Linked DNA regions of Arabidopsis thaliana. The protein of the gene in region 2 binds, or shares a complex with, the protein of the main gene of each other region. Each region holds a gene or a part of one and is shown on either strand. Other genes may lie near its edges.

Region 1 (4,201 bases), 340 kb from region 2:
CTTCTCAATGAGTGTTTATAAAAGCTGTGGAAGCTTCTTGATACAAAGACTAAAAAGAATTTATAGAAAGAACACGAAGAAGATGAAGAGGAAGATCGTGACGGCAACTACTTACGAGGCTCTACACATTTGTTTTAGCTTCGGGTTGTTTTGTTTGAAAAATGACATAATTCATAATTGTGTATGTAATGAAAGGTAGACATGGTTGCACGTATTCACTATTCAGGATAGAAAATGGAGGGACCGATAATTAGAATCTCAATTTCTAGGCAGAGTGTCAATTTTCTTTTCTTATTCTTGGCATTGTAGAAAATGACCCGGAAGAAAAACCTTAAAGTTTAATGAAGGCGATGGTTGGTGTTTGGATTAGATTCCAGCTTTTGATAGGTTTAGCATCAACAATGTCTTGGTTCTTGTTCTTTAAGTCTAAGGTTTTTCTTTTACTATCAATCTTTGGTTCATTCCTGAAACTGTCTTCAAGAAATAACCGAAATTGAACTAGAATAAACAGAATCTTTGGTGTAGTTTGAACGCAAAACAACTTTTCCATTGAAAAAGGTCGAACAAGACATCATCAAATCATGGGGACATAATTATCCATGATTTTCTAAGACAGGACTTGCGCAAACTCTAAGCTTTCGTAAGAAAAATCTCTTTATATAATAATAAACTCACATTGAATCATCAGAATCTTCTGATTCACTTCTCTCCGGTTCAACTCCTGTTGGATTACTAGTGCCTGTCTCAGGAGCTTCAGGCTTTTCAACAGGTGTAGGTGAAGAAGAAGATACTTTCTTACTTGCATTACTAGCATTCTCGTTCGTAGCTGGTTCCTCTTGCTCATGTACCTACACCAAAAAAAGTTCAAATAAATGAAGTTACTAAATCCAAGGAGCAAATATAGACACATCATGTGTCGAAAATAGAAAGAAAAGCTTACATTTTCTACCGTTCCGCCACTCAATATATTCAACAAGTCTCTCTCAACCCGCTGTACAAGCTCCGGCTGCAACATTTTGGCAAATCAATATGTTAACTTAATAGAAAGAACTTTGGAGTTCCAAAAGATACGTTTCACTACAGACTTTCAATCATAATCACAAGTATTAGTGAAACAATGTTGATGGATAGATAACAACAAATGAAAATTACATTAAGGTCAGGCTCTCGACGAAATCTCCTCTTTCGAGCATCCTTCATTGGAGGAGTTAGACCATGTCTGTATTCAACTGTATTAGGCGCAGGATCACCAGGCTCCCTAACCATGATCATCTGTGTGCCAAATCAAAGCATCCATATTGAGTTTTAGTCCAAAATTACAGAAGTTAACGCATATAAGTAAAAGATGAATCAAGTAACTTGATTTTACCTGCCCAATATCAGCAGTTTTGACTAATGCACAATCATCATAAGTTTTAAAAGACTCAACAACTGCAGGGAGATCAAGCAGAGAAGCCGGGAACTCGTCGTTTCCAATCATAAACGTCCCGTTTCTCCCATCCTCTGCAAATTCAGTTCACACAAACATTACGTATCAAGTTTGCTCCAGAGACAATATGCAAATGGATTTCTAGACAAACTATAATGATGCAACAAGAATGTCTTTTGGCTTCTTTGACAAAACAGACAATTCACAACATTAAGCTGATCCAGGAGACACAAATCACAAGCTTTGATCCTTAATCAGATTCAAGAATGTCTTTTGGGCAAACCAACATTCAAGAACTCATCACGTGACACAAGGAGCAATCCCCGAAACGATCCAGACACTAATTTCATTGATTGACGACTAAAGGACATAAATTTAAGAAAAAGGATGAAACTTTAACCCAGATGTAATGTGCCAAAAAAGAGAGAAACCCTTTAAAAATTGGTACCTGAAAAAAACAAATCCAAAGGGATTTCGTCGGAAGTAGAAGCATCCTCGCTTAAAAGCCGATCAATTCGTTCTGAAACAGACGGTGGAACCCTAAGTATGAACTGTTCTTCCATTGTAGATACCAACAGCTTGACTTGAATTCTTCTTCTTAATCAATCCAGAAACGTGAATTCGCGAACGCAGATCGTATCGAATACGTATACTTCGGTCTGTTGATGTCGTAAGTCGAAAAGAGACGAGAATCTATTGAACTGAAACACGAATTCTTTGTTATGTTAGAGAGAGAGAGAGAGAGAGAGAGAGAGAGAGACATTATAAGATAAACCTTCTAGAAGTATCCTTTTAACAATTTATTATTTTATTTCCCTCCCTAAAGGTTTCAAGATTTATGTTTTGACCAAAATAATTATAAAAGGTACAAACAGAACCCAACAATTGGTGAAAAATCACCAATTTGCTATTTAATTCTATTGAATTTTACATTTTTAGTTCCTCTTAGATAATTGATCTCACTAAGTATAAATGTATAATGATAATAAAAAGGAAGATAATTTAATTACCAGAAATTGGAATGGAGCATCTATCAAATAGAAAACTTTAAGGGGATTTTAATACTTTAAAATAATTTTGAGGGGGTTAAATGTAAAACGTAAATAATATAAAGAAACCCTAATAAATAAGTCGTTCATTGATCAATCTTCTCCAATTCTTGCAGCATCACTTCTCCGTCGTTCCTCACCACCGAGATTCGTTCACCGGTAAGTCTTATCCCTGATATTTTGCTCTTCTTCCCAACCGTATATACCCGTATCTTCTTCTTTCTCTGTCGAATAAACTTGGCTTTTCCGACTTCGATTCCTTCAATTGTAAACAACTTCGTTGCCCGTACAACTTTTTGAGTCCGGTGAAAGATCCCGTGACGGAAAAAACTGTAGATCAGGCAATTATTATGTCTATACATCGATATAAAGGATTGAATCGTTCATCTTAAGTAAGTTTGACGAAAGTTGTGATCTTTTGTGCCTATTCACATATAACGTTTCTTAGCTCCTATCTTTTGAAATTGAGCTGATTCGATCTCTACCTGAATTGCATGTGATCTTATTTTGATATAATTTACTATTCAATTAGAAAATATGATCTTTCTAGATTGATTGCTTCTTTAAAGTTCTCTTAGACGCTGGTGTTATAGCTCTTGTGTTTGTGGTCTCTTCTCTCTTAAATATCCAACCTCTTTTGGTGTATTTTCTAATCTAGTTTGTGTTGACTGACTGATAGAGAGATTGAAGCTTGACTCAATGAGGGGAAGGAGCTACACTCCGTCACCACCTAGGGGTTATGGGAGGAGGGGTCGAAGCCCAAGCCCTAGAGGCCGATATGGAGGTCGTAGCAGGGACCTCCCGACCAGTCTTTTGGTTCGCAATCTACGCCATGATTGCAGGTACATACTTTTGACTTCTCTATTATTTTCTTCAGCCATTGTGGATGATGTTATTGTTTGCACACCTCTTAAGCAAGAAGACTTGACACCTCTTAGCATATTTTGGCATGATGTTCTCTTATCTTTACTGTAAAGGTTTTCAAAAAGTTGACGTCAATGTATCTTCATTTCTTGGCTTTTAGCAAATTGTAATTCTCTTCTTACTCCTTGTCCTTTTCTTCAGGCAAGAAGATCTCAGGAAGTCGTTTGAGCAGTTTGGTCCTGTCAAGGACATTTACCTGCCAAGGGATTATTATACCGGGTGAGCATGTTTTGTAAATAGGACAACCAACACTTGATTTTTACTTATGTTCTGATTAGAAAATATCCCTATTTTCACATCTTCTTTCTTGATTTGTTTACTACGTTTATCTGCCTTTCCTTTTTCTTTCGGTCATCTCTTTGTGTCTTCTCATGGATACTAGGGCCTTATGAGAATCTTCTTAAAAACTGATTTCATAAATTAAATTTAGGCTCCATATTTTTCAGATAGTAATTTTCTGTGACATGACAATAGACAGTGAGCATACTTGTGGTCTTAAACCACTAGTTTTCGGTGTCGTTAGGTGGATTAGTCGTTTAGAATTTAGTACCTGGTGAGACCTCATAGTTTTTAGTCGCTTAAGGAAAAGGATACATGATGATATGTTCCATGTCTGAACACACTATGAGTGAGTTAATTGAAGTTGTTGAGGTTTAGCAGTGAATCTAAAGAATTGAAGACATCAAAGAAGTAATTAGAGTTCTTATGAAGATGTTCTATATGGTAGTGAAGAATTGAAGTGAAGTTGAGTTTGTATTCTATGTGAAGATGAATCAAGTCTTCAAGAAGTCATCTTTGT
Region 2 (4,710 bases):
TGAATTTGATGATCTTTTGGATAACAACATCTTCAGAGATCCATCTGACACTGTGGACGAGATTGAGCTGACATATCAGAGTGAGATGAACTCTTCACTGCTGGACACCAATGGTTCAATCAAGTCCCAACCGAACCAAAAGCGTCTGGAGATCGAGGAGCTTACTCTTCAGACACCAACAAACGGAACCACATTGGTTCACAACTTATCTGCAGATGTATATGACAAGGATCACCTACTGGTTAGTTCACTTTGACTACTTGTGTTTAAAGCATGTGACTGGTAGATTGGAAGTTACTTAAAAATGCCATTTAACAGATAATGGGTCCTAGTGGGAGTGGAAAAACTTCGCTGCTAAGAGCAATGGCTGGTCTTTGGAGGTCAGGGAAAGGAAAAATCACGTTCTACCTCGATCCTGAGGTAGATTTTACACAGGAGAAATCTGATACTCAGGAAAATTCAGGGAAAAGAGGAGACGTATTGTTCCTTCCACAAAGGCCTTATATGGTTCTGGGATCTTTGCGTCAGCAATTGCTTTATCCTACCTGGAGTGCAACTGTGGAGGAGACGACACCTGGTGGCAGTAATATTGACGGTACTCAGTTTAAATTTGTGTCTAGTAACAACCATTTCTTTCAACTCCATTTAAGTTTATGCAAGCAGATTATAGAACCCAAAAGCAAATCGACTGAAGAAAAAATGCGTTGATTTTGTTAGGTTCACCACCTCTGCTGATTAGAGAGGACGGAAATGAAAAGCCGACAACAGATGATCTGATGCGGACTCTAGAGAAGGTTTGTCTTGGACATATAGCGGATCGCTTTGGTGGTCTTGATTCGATACACGAGTGGTCCAGTGTTCTCTCACTTGGTGAGCAGCAGCGCCTTGCCTTTGCACGGTTATTGCTGTCTCAGCCAAAGCTGGCGCTCCTGGATGAATCCACCAGTGCGTTGGATGAAGCTAATGAGGTACTTGTTGGTTCTCCTCTCATCTATCATTTAGAATAATATCATGTACATGTAGCGTTGAGCCATTAAAATTCCTCTTGATGCCCAGGCGTTCCTGTACCAGCAAATCCAGTCGGCTGGCATTACATATATAAGCATTGGCCACCGCCGGACTTTAACGAAATTCCATAACAAGATCTTACAAATCTCAACGGCAGACCCGAAGAGCAATGAACGTAACTGGCGAATAGAGGACGTGGATGCCCAAGATTCTTTGTACGGTAGATTGAATCAAAAGGAGGTGCCAAGTGAAAGCTGATCAAAACCTGATTGATTACATAAGAGACAGAAGCAGCAGGTAAATCTGCAAACGGGTGTCATGAAACATATAAGAAACATGTTTGGTGTCCATTTTGTATATAATCTACCAGACTTGACGTTGACTGAAGATGCAAGTAAATAGAGAGATTGATACAGATACGAGTGCAACGAAGTTCTGATTAAAAATAACACGCGAGATGAGCTAAAAATTCAAAACCGGCTGAGTATTTATCATAAGCCCAATAAATCTAACGATGGGCCCATTTGAGAAAGCCTGATAGAGTGAGAAAATGTAACACGACTGACTCGACTCAGTCGCTCAAAGTCGAAAAAGAAAGAAGGCGCAAGGAGGATGGTGACGAAAGAATCCATTGAAGTGATAGCTCAGAGCATTGGACTCTCCACTCTTTCTCCGGACGTCTCAGCCGCTCTTGCTCCCGATGTCGAGTATCGCGTCCGAGAGGTCATGCAGGTATATCATCAACTTCAACTTTACTTTTGCCCTCTAATCTCCTCTTTAACTTGTCGTCGCAATCTCCAGGAAGCTATCAAATGCATGCGTCATGCTCGACGCACCACTTTAATGGCTCATGATGTCGATTCTGCTCTTCATTTCAGGAATTTGGAGGTTTCCTCTTCCTCTCTTCTTCTTTTATTTCATACCGTTGACCCTGATTTTGACTTTTTTTTGTATAGCCTACCTCTGGCTCCAAAAGTATGCGGTTCAAGAGAGCTCCTGAGAACAGAGATCTATACTTCTTCGATGACAAAGATGTCGAGCTCAAGAATGTAAGCTTCATTGATTGGCCATGAATGAAGAAGATGGTGAAATGTTGTTTATTGTTATTAAGCTTCCCTTCATGGTCTCTTGTGCAGGTTATCGAAGCTCCTCTACCAAATGCACCTCCTGATGCATCTGTTTTCTCATTGGTTGGCAATTGATGGTATTCAACCTTCCATTCCACAGAATTCTCCTCTCCAAGGTATTTCTTTTGTCTTCTTTTGCATCACCTACTACTTCTCCTTCTAATCCCTCTTCCATGACAATTTGTAGCCATATCTGACCTTAAACGATCGGAATATAAGGACGATGGCTTGGCTGCTAGACAGGTGCTTTCTAAGGACCTTCAGGTTATTTTACTCCCTTCTTTTTTTGGGTCTTTACCTCGCTCTTTGAATGCTATATAATCCTTGCTTGCTCTCGATGCAGATTTACTTTGACAAAGTCACGGAGTGGGCTTTGACTCAATCTGGCTCCACCCTCTTTAGACAAGCACTCGCCAGCTTGGAAATTGATCCTGGACTCCACCCATTAGTTCCCTTTTTCACTTCTTTCATCGCTGAAGAGGTTTGTCTTTGTAATCCAACACTTCTAGTCTTGACTTTTATTCTAACTTGACCACATTTTCACTACTTTTTTTGTGCTTGCAATTTCTCCAGATTGTCAAAAACATGGATAATTATCCAATCTTGTTGGCTTTGATGCGTCTTGCTAGAAGCCTCCTTCATAACCCTCATGTACATATTGAGCCATATGTAAGTTTTGTGCGCACACTTTTTTTTTGTTTTTTTTTGTTTCTCTTCTCCCTTCTCCTCCTTCTGTTGACTTTTAACTTGTTGTATTCTGTTCAGCTGCATCAGTTGATGCCGTCTATTATCACTTGCCTTATTGCCAAGCGCTTAGGAAGAAGGTCATCTGATAATCACTGGGACTTGAGAAACTTCACTGCCAGCACAGTTGCTTCAACGTGCAAAAGGTTAATGTTACATTCTTGCTTTGTGATTTCATGCATCTTATACAACCATATAACTTGCAATCACATTAGTGAACTTTTTACAGGTTTGGACACGTTTATCACAATTTGTTGCCACGTGTCACAAGATCACTGCTTCATACCTTTTTGGACCCAACCAAGGCACTCCCACAACACTATGGGGCAATTCAAGGGATGGTAGCCCTTGGGCTTAATATGGTACTTCCTCTTGATGCTTCTTGATTATCATAACGAAGAGTAGCACTTTAGGTTGTGCGTCTAGAATTTTTACATAAGAAAGCATAAGTTTAAAACTAATAGTAGCATGATCCGACATCCTCGATAAAGTTATTAAACCTGCAATTGAACCTTAAGATATATATCCTTTGGTCGTCCGTAAGTATTTTCTTGCTTTATACCTTTGTCTAGGTTCGCTTTCTTGTTCTCCCAAACCTAGGGCCGTATTTGCTGCTTCTTTTACCTGAAATGGGACTTGAGAAGCAGAAGGAAGAAGCTAAGAGGCATGGGGCTTGGCTTGTTTATGGAGCGTTGATGGTGAGTATGCTTTCTAGTTTGATACAGAAATTAGAAAACTTGTTTGCTTTCAATCTCGTGTTGCAAAACAGGCAGGAGAGCATATAAACTTTAACTTTCCATAGGTGGCAGCTGGTCGATGCCTATATGAACGGCTTAAAACATCTGAGACACTGCTGTCTCCTCCAACTAGCTCTGTCTGGAAGACAAATGGAAAGCTCACCAGCCCCAGGCAAAGTATAAAATCTGGTCTCATTCTTTTTTTTTCTTTTGGCGTTCTAAACACGGAGATACGCGTTCTTAAATAATTTTTTTCTTCGGCCAAGGTAAACGCAAAGCAAGCAGTGACAACTTAACTCATCAACCACCACTGAAGAAGATAGCAGTAGGGGGAATTATACAAATGAGCTCCACACAAATGCAGATGCGCGGAACCACAACAGTCCCTCAACAGTCCCACACAGATGCAGATGCACGGCACCACAATAGTCCCTCAACAATTGCTCCGAAGACTTCAGCTGCTGCAGGCACTGACGTCGACAACTATCTCTTTCCTCTTTTTGAGTATTTTGGTGAGAGCATGCTTATGTTCACCCCCACACATGAGCTCAGTTTCTTCTTGTAATAGATTATTGACATGGTAATTGTATGTACCACAATAAATACATCTATATAATATTTCGAAATGTCTTGGAAATCGTCAACTTTATAGTGGGCATTTTGCGAGAGGTAAAATCAACCAGTGTTAATCTTACATAGACATATGTGTACTCTAATTATAGCTTGGCCTGGACCACAAATACACATCTTTTCCATGCTACTCCCCATCTCCATCTCCATCTCCACTATTAGTTGTGAAGAACGGAGTCAGAAAGTTTTTGTCCAACGCGGTGAATGATGTAGTGCTGCAAAGTTTTGTCAAGTGAGTCCCAAAAAATTGCAAATATCGCTTTTTACTCAGGAAAACATACTAAGCCATTCTCTTATTCTTACGTTTTGTGAAACTCCTTCAGCTTCATCTTGAACCTGCTTCCTGATGATGATGTATCCTCGTCAGATGAAGCTCCAATGCTAAAAGGAGGAGGGACATACTGATGATCGCTCTCTTCAAAGCCCTAACCACGTATCTGGGAGCGTTAGAAAAAGTACATACA
Region 3 (5,665 bases), 1.7 Mb from region 2:
ACTTTTAATTTATAGATTAATGATGTATTTATTATTTAATTTTACATATTTAATTGTACTAATACTAAATTTATTTTGTTATTAAATGTTTTTCAATAAAATAATTTGATTGATTTTCTCATACTCAAAAGATTTTTTTCTGTAATCTTAACTCAAATTATGAGTGTATAGTAGTCATGGATTAATTAATAGTTTGAATAGTTTGCATATTGTTATATATCTATATAATAAATCGCCGAGGGTGAAGAGTATGTAAGAAGTTTAATCATCAAATTCTTAGGTTTCGAGAATCCCAATATTACCTTCTATTTAATTAGTTTAAGACGAACATTGTTTAGGAATTGTGTGTATAATGCATTGTTGAGAATGTTGTTAGAAAAAATATATTTTAATATTAAGAATAATTACTTATTATATAAGTAAATGATTAGATAATTAAAAATTATATTTAAATTAAACGATACAAAAAATTTAAAAATACCGCAGCGTAGCGCGGGTGATTACCTAGTCATAGTAAAATTAGTAGTGACAGATTTTAAAAAATGACAAGCTTATGCTAGTAACTTTACAAAATAGATAGCATTATATAAATATTTTACTGTAGTATGAGTCAATACTTTTTTAATTATTAATTTAGTCAATATATGTTAGATGCAAATGTATTTTTTTTTATTGACCAATACTTTGGTAGTATAATATTAGTAGTATTAGATATTATTGGCTATAAATAGATTCAACATTGAAACACAAATCATATATATGAAAGAAGACTAACTCTCTCCCACAACTTGACACATAAGCACATGAGAGCTTGCCACCTAGACTTCATAAAATAAGTAATACATAATTAGTAATTAATTCAACATAACAACTAAAATAGGAGAATATAATTAATGAGAACTTGAACCATCACTCTTTCTACATTTTTAATTCAATATATCCTCTTTAATTTTGAGATCCACTTAAGTGGCTAAAGTGATGATAAAATCCAAACATGTTACACATATTCCTGGCCTAAAAATTAGACGATTATTATGAAAGAAACTAAATGAATATGCAGATTAAATATATCTAAGCTTTTCGATATTTATGCTAAGAAAACAGGTAATTTGAAAGATATTTGAGGAGCTATCCTTATAACTAATACGTAAGATATAAGATTATGACAAGAACTTAACTAAACTTTCTAAGAATATCGAGTTGAATATGCTTAGATTGAATATGCAAAGACATGATTAATAAAGACATGTTATATTTTTAGTGTAAGAAATAATTTTTCTAAAATTTCACTGTCTCACAATCTATACATATAACTAAAAAAGCAAGGATATATAAATTCAAAAAAAAACTAAGAATCTAAAACAACAATAAAAAACAACTCAAGCACATTCGTTTTTCAGATGAACTAATATAGTTGGACTTTTCAAAAACAATTACAAAACATATTTATGTTTCAAAACCTATGCATTCAACTTTACTTTATATAAACAGACATTATATAAAACAATTAGTAAATAGTAATACGTAAACCCGCACGTAGTGCGGGTACTCATCTAATTTGTAAATTAATAATTCCTCAATTTGCACCCAAAAAAAGAATTCCTTAACCACGAAAAAAATAAAAAAACAAAATTACAATTTAAGGGGGAAAGTTATATGAAATTGCAAATATAACCACCAAACAAACAATCGACTATCGAGGTTACCCTTAAGAAAATCTTTATTCGCAAGATCTCTCTCTCTCTCTCTCACTCGACGCACTTTAGAAAGAAACCCTAGTCCGACGACCTCTCCTTCGCCGCTGAATCCTCATCGCTGGTCAGATTTCTATCTATCTCGCTCTTCTATGTTTCCCTATCTCGTTGGTCAGATTTCGAATCTTCTTTTTGTTCTCATGGTTTTTGAGCTCAAAACTTTGGGGTTTCAATGTCTCGATGTTATTTCTTAGCGAGGTTTCAATGTTGGCTAAGTGAAGTTTTGGTATTGTCATTTACAGATTCTTGGCGGCTTTCTTTTTGATGAAATTGGATTACGATGGCTGGATATCCTACTAATGGATCAGTCTACGTTTCAAATCTCCCCTTAGGAACTGACGAGAATATGTTGGCTGACTATTTTGGGACCATTGGGTTGCTTAAGGTATGGTATTGGCCAGGTACTAATTGTTGCTTTTGTTTTGACGTCATTGCAATCTTTTATAGGTCACTAGATTTTCGAGTTTCTTACATTTTTTTCTACATTGCTTTTAGAGAGACAAACGAACTGGTACTCCTAAGGTATGGCTGTACCGGGATAAAGAAACTGATGAGCCCAAGGGAGATGCTACTGTTACCTATGAGGATCCGCATGCTGCTTTGGCTGCTGTTGAATGGTTCAATAACAAAGATTTTCATGGAAACACCATTGGAGTTTTTATGGCCGAGTCGAAGAATAAAAATGCTGGTGATGCAGTTGAGTTTGTTGAATTCGATGGAGGTGCTGAGGAAACAAATGGAGGTGCTGGAAGGGGGAGGGGTCAGGCTGATTCTTCGGCAAAGCCATGGCAGCAAGATGGTGACTGGATGTGCCCTAATACAAGGTCTGTGATGTGATATCGGTGAGGAGCTTCATCTAGCTCTTGTTTCCGTTAATTTGCTAGTTTTTATATATTTTATAGTTTCTAGCAGTAGTGTTCTCATACTCTTTCATTGGCAGTTGTACAAATGTGAATTTTGCATTCCGTGGGGTTTGTAACCGCTGTGGAACTGCTAGACCAGCTGGTGCATCTGGTGGCAGCATGGGTGCTGGTCGTGGAAGGGGTCGAGGTGGAGGCGCTGATGGTGGGGCCCCGGGGAAGCAGCCCAGTGGTGCTCCTACTGGTCTCTTTGGTCCAAATGATTGGGCTTGTCCAATGTAAGCATTCCGATTAGGTTTGAAATAGTTAGTTCAGTTTCAGAGGATAATGAGCGTTTGGTACTTGATTAAAACACATCGCAAGAAACAATTTATATTCAGTAGCAAAAGAGAACATTCAGATGGCATATAGCGTTGCTGGATATAAAATTAATTTGTCTTATGTATGGAAGGAATATAGCTTGTATATCAATGCTTTTGATGATGTCAGTTGACTCTTTACTTAGAAAGAAGTGATGGCCCGCTCTGCTGTGCTGTGTCTCTTAAACTGGTCCAAATTATGTGTGGAGGCACATATTTTTTCCTTCTTTTTTGAATGTTGATTCTAATTTCGTAATTTTCCTTCAGATGGCTGTTAATCTGAAAAATGTAATTTGAAACGTGGGTAGGTTGTAGTCTTGATCCTTCTAAGAAGTTATATTTGTGAAGATAGGCTGCCTTCAATTTTCTGTGTCTGATACAAAAAATGGACTATGTTTTAGTTTAATTGCAAGTTATGCTATGTGTCATCGAGTAGCTTAACTAAGAGGCTGCACTGTGTGAATGTGAGTTCTTATGCATAATGCACTTTTTCTTTTTGCGCTAATTCTTTCAGGTGTGGCAATGTCAACTGGGCGAAACGTCTAAAATGTAATATCTGCAACACCAATAAACCTGGTCAGAATGAAGGTGGTGTGAGGTATGACTCAAAGCCAGTGATAAGATTGCCTTTGTATTGTTATCTTGCAATGTTCGAGCTGAGGATTTGGATTATAAATGATTTTACAGTGAATGTAGGAGAGGTCGTAGATTTTCTGTTCGATGTTTGTAGTTTTGTTGTCAGCAGGGTATATTTATTCTGCTTTTAGACAGGGCCTAATAGATACCTGGGAAAAAGTCTCAATACTCTCTTCTGCAATTTGAACGAGTGCTTGTTTTCTTCGACAATTGATTTATCCCACTTGTAATGTTTTATTTTGGCCAAATTAGAGTTGCATTAAGAAACATTAAGGTTTGAGTTTGGAAGGTTGTTTTTATCTAGACCAGTGCTTATTCATTTTTTTTTCTCTAAATAGGGGAGGCCGTGGTGGTGGTTACAAGGAATTAGATGAACAAGAATTAGAGGAAACGAAGAGACGCAGGCGTGAGGCTGAAGAAGTAAGATATGCTTTTCCTGAAGAGTTCTTTGTTTTTTGTTTTTTTGTTGCAATTCGGATGAGCTCTCAGTTTTTTGTATATTCCATTTGACTTATACGTCTAATATATTTCAGGATGATGGTGAAATGTATGATGAGTTTGGGAATCTAAAGAAGAAGTACCGTGTTAAAACAAACCAAGCTGACACCAGACCTGCTGTTGCTGCTGGTCGTGCTGGGTGGGAAGTCGAGGAACTAGGTAAGTTCTGTTTAATTTTAACTAATATGAACTAAATCTATGCAATCATCAAATAGGTTGAGCTTATGAACAGAACCTTTCCACTATAATAGAGATTTATTTGGCTCGATCTATATCTACTCTCTGTGTATAGTCTTCAAAGAAAGTTTCTGCTTGTCATCTAGACACTTGAGTGAAACTTAACATATATGCGGGGAGGGATTTGTTTGAAATTTTACATTAAGCTTGCAGCTAACTTGCCTATAGCCCAAGCCTAGTGGGGATCTCCAATAAACAGTGTTGTTCCTTGTTAGAGTTTTCTTCTTTTCACTGAATAGATATAGAGGAAGATAGAAAAGAATGTTTATTGCTGCTTCCCCAAAAATAGAAAGGTCATGATCCAATGTAGTTGTTCATAATTTATATGAATGTGGCAGGTATTGATAAAGATGGAAGAGAGAGAAGCAGAGACAGGCAAAGAGACCGTGGTAGAGATCATCACTACGATAAGGATAGACGCAGAAGCAGAAGCCGAGAGAGGGAAAGAGGCAAGGAGCGTGACTATGACTATGACCATGATCGGGACAGAGACAGAGACTACGGTCGCGAACGTGGAAGCAGGTACCGTAACTGAGAGATTACTCATAAGTGTTAGGGTTTAGTTTCTCATCTGTTTTGTCGACTTACTTTTACAACGGTATCATTACAATGTCTTCGCCTTTTGTTTACTTATTGTGTGAAGTGAAACTCATTTTGGTTTGAATCAATGGCTATTGTTTTTCACTTGTTTTGGTCTGATTATGTTCTGAGAATACTCCATGTTTATCGTTTCGAAAATTGGTAATTATGGCAAAACATGGTTAGCGACGTCAATTGCTAATTTAGACGTGTATTAAGTATTATTTTGTCTTTTGTAGTATTATTTTTAGTTGTCCCTTTGTTTTTTTTTCCATCGCCAATCATTTCATCGCTGTATGATTTTAATGGGAATAAAAAAAATAGAACAAGAAGATTTTTGTGGACAATATAGTTTCTGAAACTATAATAGGATAAGAAAAAATTAAGCTTATTTGTGGGGATATATATTAATGTCATATCATTGTCATAAACATGGTCGGCAAAACTTGGGACGGCAGTTTACCAGAATAATCCGGTCGACAGAATTCAACAGTTCCTCTCTCTAAAAGATATGAAGGAGATTAATTTTGGCTTTGTTAGCAAAGATGGCCGGTCCTCTTCTGGCAAATCCGGCTTTTACAAGCGGTTTTGGCCGGCTTTTATCCTTCCTCCGCCGTTCGATCGGTTGTTCTTACCGATTGCTTTAGTTTCTTTTTCAGTTTTTCTTTCAATAATTTCTAAAGATTTCAATTGGAGATTAATTTTAGGTCATAATAGCCTAAGATTAAGTTTTCGGATTTGT
Region 4 (5,964 bases), on a different chromosome or scaffold from region 2:
AAGTACGAGATTCACTGGATTTGATGGCTCGTCGGCTGTTTCTCCTCCTCCTCGCCGTCACGGCAGGGTTGAGCTTGACGGGAACAACCGTCAGAGCAGTTGGCATAAATTGGGGGACAGAAGCGTCGCACCCTCTTCCGCCTTCAAAGGTTGTAGAGCTTCTGAAATCAAACGGCATTGTCAAAGTGAAGCTCTTCGATGCCGACCCAAAAGTTCTCCGAGCTCTCTCTGGTTCTAATATTGGTGTCACTATCGGAATCCAAAATTCGATGCTCAAGAGCTTGAATGCATCCGTAAAGGTAGCAGAGAGCTGGGTACATGACAATGTCACTCGTTACTTCAACGGTGGAAACAGAGTTCGAATCGAGTATCTTCTTTCTCCTTCTCTTCTGCTTATCCAGTTATATATATATAGATTTAAGATTTTTAAGCTGGAATTTAACTTATGGAATGTGAATGAGTCGGATTTGTTTCAATGCCAAATTGCCAATCTTCTTATTGTGAAATTATCATTAAAGAAAAGAATTGATTTTCAGGTATGTAGCAGTTGGAGAAGAGCCATTTCTCCAGAGCTATGGCAATCAGTATAAGCCTTTTGTGATTGGGGCAGCTATGAATATCCAAAATGCTTTAGTTAAGGCGAACTTGGCAAATGAAGTGAAGGTTGTAGTCCCCTCAAGCTTTGATTCCTTTCTTTCTGAATCTGGTCGACCTTCTTCAGGACACTTTAGGGCTGACCTCAACAAGACGATGATTGAACTCCTCTCCTTTCTCACAAAGCACCACTCTCCTTTTTTTGTGACAATCTCTCCTTTCCTAAGCTTTCACCAGAACAAGAACATCTCCCTTGACTTTAGCCTCTTTAAAGAAACAGCAAAGGCTCACAAAGACGGACGTAAAACCTACAGAAACAGCTTTGATCTAAGCTATGACACACTTGTCTCTGCATTGTTCACAATTGGGTTTTCGGAGGTGGATATCGTTGTGTCAAAGATCGGTTGGCCTACAGATGGAGCAGAAAATGCAACATCACTGACTGCTGAGGCGTTCTTTAAAGGACTGATAGTTCACTTGGAGAAAAAGACGGCCTCTCTCCCGCGTCCTCCTGTTGAAACCTACATTGAAAGTCTCTTGGACGAAGATCAGAGAAACTTATCTGCTGGGAACTTTGAGAGGCACTGGGGAGTGTTCACTTTCGACGGTCAAGCCAAATACAATTTCAGTTTCAACCATAAGAATCAGGTAAACGCGCAGAATGTTCAGTACCTTCCTCCTAAGTGGTGTGTGGTGAACAATAACAAGGACTTGTCAAACGCGTCAGCAAGAGCATTAGAAGCGTGTGCTGTTGCGGACTGTACATCGATACTTCCTGGCGGGTCGTGTTCAGGCATCAGATGGCCAGGCAACGTTTCATACGCGTTCAATAGCTTGTACCAGCAAAATGATCACAGTGCAGAAAGCTGCAACTTTGGTGGACTTGGTTTGATCACTACTGTTGATCCTTCTGAGGATAATTGCCGGTTCTCGATTCAACTTGACACTTCTCATTCATCTTCGCAAACTCCAAATTTCTTTCAGAGCTGGCCTCTCCTCTTATTGTTCCTACTGTCCGGACTCTTTTAAAGTTGTAGTTATAGCAAAATTTTGGTGGATTTTGCCTCTAATTTCTCTCTAATAGCCACATTTCAAAACTGTATTGGGCTACGTAAAAAATAACTGTTATTGGGCTGGGCCTTCGTAAAGGTTAGATGATTATGGGCCTTAGAACCATGTTGTCTTATTTGATAAAAAAAGCAAGTCCAGTTATTTTGGGAAACCGGTCGGTAAAAGATAAGATGTAAAAGAATTTAAGATTTAAGATAAATGCAATAATAAAGTTCCACTATTTTTGAGAGAAATATAAATAAAACGCGAGATTTTTTATTCTACGTCTAAAAAGGCTCTCACACGATTCGTTAAGAGTTTTGGTCTGTTGTTTATCGCAAACCCTAGGTCATGGCTGGGATGTACAATCAAGACGGCGGCGGAGGTGCGCCTATTCCGTCGTACGGTGGTGATGGATACGGCGGAGGGGGAGGTTATGGAGGTGGTGATGCTGGATATGGTGGACGCGGTGCCTCTGGCGGAGGTAGTTACGGCGGACGCGGTGGTTACGGTGGAGGCGGTGGTAGAGGAAATCGAGGTTTGTGATTTAGATTGTTGCAGATCTGATTGATATAACCTTATGATTCTTTAGATTTCTCCATTCCTTGCTGAGCTACTTTTGTTAAATCTTTAGTTTCTCACTATTTCGATGATTCGTTTTGATTTAGGCGGTGGAGGTGGTGGATATCAAGGAGGTGATCGCGGTGGAAGAGGAAGTGGCGGCGGAGGCAGAGATGGAGATTGGCGTTGTCCCAACCCCAGGTAATGATTGCAAATTATTTGGGATTCCATTCTTTCTGCATATGTAATGAATTGAATTAGCTGTTGAATTCCTTTGTGGGAGCATGTTTTGAAATTGTTTACCCTCGAAACTGTTTGTATAGTTGTGGGAACGTGAACTTTGCAAGGAGAGTTGAATGTAACAAGTGTGGTGCACTTGCTCCTTCTGGTACTAGTTCTGGTGCTAATGATCGTGGAGGTGGTGGATATAGCCGAGGTGGAGGTGACAGTGATCGTGGGGGTGGTCGTGGTGGTAGAAACGATAGTGGTAGGAGCTATGAGAGTAGTAGATATGATGGTGGAAGTAGGAGTGGTGGTAGCTATGGTAGTGGTAGTCAGAGGGAAAATGGTTCGTATGGTCAGGCTCCTCCTCCTGCTGCAGCTATTCCATCCTACGATGGTTCTGGAAGTTATCCTCCACCCACGGGTTATGGAATGGAAGCTGTTCCCCCGCCTACAAGCTATTCTGGTGGCCCGCCGTCATATGGTGGTCCACGAGGGGGTTATGGCAGTGATGCACCGAGCACTGGTGGTCGTGGTGGTAGGAGTGGCGGCTATGATGGTGGTAGTGCTCCTCGACGGCAGGAAGCTAGTTATGAAGATGCAGCTACTGAAAAAGTCAAGCAGTGCGATGCTGATTGTGATGATAATTGTGATAATGCTAGAATATACATCTCTAATTTACCTCCGGATGTGACAACTGATGAACTCAAGGATCTCTTTGGTGGCATTGGCCAAGTAATAACACTGGTCTTTTACTTCTGTTGTGTTTTATATCTTGGAATAAGCCTTTCCCTTGCTATAAGTTATTAAGTTCTTGTTTGTGTACATGTTTATTGGTGTGCTGATAAAGTGTGTCTGGTTGGATCTATTTTAGGTTGGAAGAATTAAGCAGAAGCGTGGTTACAAAGATCAGTGGCCCTATAATATTAAGATTTACACTGATGAGAAGGGTAACTATAAAGGTGACGCCTGTCTGGCTTATGAAGATCCCAGCGCTGCACACTCTGCAGGCGGCTTTTTCAACAGTATGTACTATGGAATTGCTGTCTAGCTTAAAATTGTTTAAAAGTTCTGTTTCGTGAATGGTGGTGGATTGTTTTGTAGATTACGAAATGAGGGGGAACAAGATTAGTGTAACGATGGCAGAAAAGTCTGCGCCCCGTGCTCCTACCTTTGACCAGAGGTAGCTGTCCTGATCATTTATCAGCATTCTTTTTTGTTACCATTTAGCTGTTACCACCTGCTCCATCTTATAGGTGTTTGTACTCTAGTTGTTTTAGGCTTTTAGCTTTATAATTTTAGTAGGGAATATGAGTTTTTGCAATGCTAAGTTTATGTTCCTTGTCTCTGAAGACTGTTTGGATCTTGTATCCTACTGGGGATTTGCTTTGTACACTCATCTGGGTATGACAGAAAGGGTTGGGAGTTCGTATGTCATCAAATTATGCCTTAGGTCTATGTTCATGCCATAGGAAATAAATCTATGTAGTTATCTTGTAACCTATAGCTGTGGCTGCTCTTGGTTGTGAAGAGATCTGTTGTTTGTTCATGCTTCTTATAAGCTCCTAGTAATTCCCCATATAAGTTGTATCTTTATCTGGTTTTCCATGCTCTATAAGACTCGTCTTTGTTGTGTGTTGAGTCACTTCATCTTACGTAGTAAGCTGGTTTTAATTAGAGATGTCTGTGTCTGATCTAATAATGTTGTCCTTGCAAACTTGTGAATGTCGCAGAGGTGGGGGTAGAGGAGGAGGAGGTGGTGGCTATGGTGGTGGTGGGGGAGACAGAAGAAGAGACAACTACAGTTCAGGGCCAGACAGAAACCACCATGGGGGAAACCGGTCTCGTCCATATTGAGAGAAAGAGAGGAATGAATGAATCAGCTGTTATGTGTTCTAAGAGTTTTGTGTGTGTTAAGGAGGGAATTTTAGTAAAATGTTCTATGAATCCTCATATTGGAGATACAAAAAAAGAGGTAGGTTTTTGTTCACTTTGACCTTGAGCAAAATTACCCCTTTTTTCTCCCTACTTGTTCTGTTTCTTTGGGGATCTATTATTCATGCATCTCCGGTTTATTTTTAGTTTGTTTTTCACGATGTGAAATGTTTGTTTTTTGTTTTATTGAAGGAAGCTGATATTTAACTGCAAAATGCATTGCAAATTGGTGCTATGATGATTTCAGGTGAGTGCATTCATCTTGATTACTTCTTTCAACACCAGAAGTCCCTTTTTTGCTTCTCTTCCTTCTTTTTTTGACTCTGTTCAACACAAACAAAACAGTCGTATGTTTTCATGTTGTATTGTGTAATGCATTCATTTAGGCAACCACACTTCTCTTTACAATTTTCGGAGTTGTTATCGTTTTTTCTCGCAAACTTCTTTTATAGCAACATGTGTTCCTCGAGAATTGGCAGGAGTGGGGGATGGCTAGGCACTTGTGTCTGATCAGTTGATCTGAAGTATGCAGTGACCTTTCAAAGATCAACTTGATGATTTTATTGCCAACTTCACTCACTGGGGCTATGATTAGGATTAGGGTTTTACAAATGAGTGGCCTTTTTTTGGATAAAAGACGTTGTTAATAAATAGTTAATCGTTCAATCTGGATCCCAAGGACTAAAGAGAAGGGTGTCTCGTAAAGTTCTCTATGTGTATATGTCATGACCTTTTGGTCAAGTGCCGGATTGGCCAACTCTTTAATGTGTTACATGTAACGAAAGTTTATGTTGAAATTATAGGAACAAAAAAGACTAATGCCGAAAATCCCAAGAGAAAGTTTATTAATGACTTGTTGTGTAGAAAATATGGACGAGAGAAAGAATCCAGGAAATTTGGAATCCTGTAACATTAGTTTCAAGATTCCCATTCTCAATTCGACAAAGAGAATCCATCTTCTAACATTGCATATTCACAGCTCAATCGCTGGCTGGCTCTAGCACACGGCGATATTACTTATTTACCATCCCTTTCACACACATATTGGATAATATACATATTCTTAATAAAAGTCCACCAGTAGTCTTAAGCATAAATTTACAAAAAAAAAAAAAAAAAAAAAAAGTAAGGCAGTAACAATGTAATTCTAACAAACTGCTTAGATGTGTGAAATCCAGATATTTGTAAGTTGTAACTTGTAAGACCACACTATTTAATACTTAATGTGTTCTTAACCTCAAATTGACAATACCTGCGATTTTTCTCACTTTCGACACAATTTTCTATATGATTTGAACTTCAACAATTCTATATAAAAAAAGGTAAAATATTTACATGCAAATAATAAACTTACCCATTACCATATCTTGTATACAAGAAGCTAAACGAAGGAGGGAATGAAGTAGGAATCACATATAAGCAAGAAGAAGCTATGGAACTCAGGATGGATAGCGCCAACAGATATACATGTACGCATATACAAAACATACAGCACTGGTGAGCCATGGCGCTATCCCTCCTGAGCTTTATAGCTATTTCTCTACTACTCAATCTGAAATTTACATCCATAGGTATGCATCTTCCTTTACATATGTGTTATAA

Evidence for each region.
Region 1: TAF6B (region 2) and TAF7 share a complex: the UniProt entries of both Arabidopsis thaliana proteins name them as parts of the TFIID complex.
Region 3: TAF6B (region 2) and TAF15 share a complex: the UniProt entries of both Arabidopsis thaliana proteins name them as parts of the TFIID complex.
Region 4: TAF6B (region 2) and TAF15b share a complex: the UniProt entries of both Arabidopsis thaliana proteins name them as parts of the TFIID complex.

Annotation. Positions count from the first base shown.
Region 1 is NC_003070.9:20,627,499-20,631,699, forward strand, and holds TAF7 (TBP-associated factor 7), read right to left. Parts: upstream 2,195-4,201; 5' UTR 1,993-2,194; coding exon 1,878-1,992; intron 1,504-1,877; coding exon 1,370-1,503; intron 1,273-1,369; coding exon 1,153-1,272; intron 1,007-1,152; coding exon 656-1,006; 3' UTR 525-655; downstream 1-524. Other genes in the region: SCL33 (SC35-like splicing factor 33), read left to right, coding at 3,178-3,320, 3,544-3,621, 4,189-4,201. UniProt on the Arabidopsis thaliana protein: TAFs are components of the transcription factor IID (TFIID) complex that is essential for mediating regulation of RNA polymerase transcription.
Region 2 is NC_003070.9:20,288,980-20,293,689, forward strand, and holds TAF6B (TBP-ASSOCIATED FACTOR 6B), read left to right. Parts: upstream 1-1,620; coding exon 1,621-1,740; coding exon of another isoform or gene 1,741-1,809; coding exon 1,810-2,057; intron 2,058-2,144; coding exon 2,145-2,251; intron 2,252-2,322; coding exon 2,323-2,399; intron 2,400-2,478; coding exon 2,479-2,616; intron 2,617-2,708; coding exon 2,709-2,804; intron 2,805-2,900; coding exon 2,901-3,025; intron 3,026-3,108; coding exon 3,109-3,241; intron 3,242-3,451; coding exon 3,452-3,577; intron 3,578-3,681; coding exon 3,682-3,793; intron 3,794-3,882; coding exon 3,883-4,181; downstream 4,182-4,710. Other genes in the region: ABCD2 (ABC transporter family protein), read left to right, coding at 1-241, 319-595, 718-968, 1,057-1,266; NHX5 (sodium hydrogen exchanger 5), read right to left, coding at 4,374-4,461, 4,550-4,671. UniProt on the Arabidopsis thaliana protein: TAFs are components of the transcription factor IID (TFIID) complex that is essential for mediating regulation of RNA polymerase transcription. Not redundant with TAF6.
Region 3 is NC_003070.9:18,628,032-18,633,696, reverse strand, and holds TAF15 (TBP-associated factor 15), read left to right. Parts: upstream 1-1,657; 5' UTR 1,658-1,818; intron 1,819-1,996; 5' UTR 1,997-2,034; coding exon 2,035-2,139; exon of another isoform or gene 2,140-2,155; intron 2,156-2,249; coding exon 2,250-2,578; intron 2,579-2,694; coding exon 2,695-2,892; intron 2,893-3,487; coding exon 3,488-3,571; intron 3,572-3,947; coding exon 3,948-4,029; intron 4,030-4,142; coding exon 4,143-4,266; intron 4,267-4,682; coding exon 4,683-4,879; 3' UTR 4,880-5,142; downstream 5,143-5,665. Other genes in the region: AT1G50290 (uncharacterized protein), read left to right, coding at 5,435-5,665. UniProt on the Arabidopsis thaliana protein: TAFs are components of the transcription factor IID (TFIID) complex that is essential for mediating regulation of RNA polymerase transcription.
Region 4 is NC_003076.8:23,636,886-23,642,849, reverse strand, and holds TAF15b (TBP-associated factor 15B), read left to right. Parts: upstream 1-1,876; 5' UTR 1,877-1,995; coding exon 1,996-2,182; intron 2,183-2,312; coding exon 2,313-2,406; intron 2,407-2,528; coding exon 2,529-3,162; intron 3,163-3,301; coding exon 3,302-3,452; intron 3,453-3,531; coding exon 3,532-3,610; intron 3,611-4,160; coding exon 4,161-4,284; 3' UTR 4,285-4,402; exon of another isoform or gene 4,403-4,554; 3' UTR 4,555-5,435; downstream 5,436-5,964. Other genes in the region: AT5G58480 (O-Glycosyl hydrolases family 17 protein), read left to right, coding at 24-367, 537-1,623. UniProt on the Arabidopsis thaliana protein: TAFs are components of the transcription factor IID (TFIID) complex that is essential for mediating regulation of RNA polymerase transcription.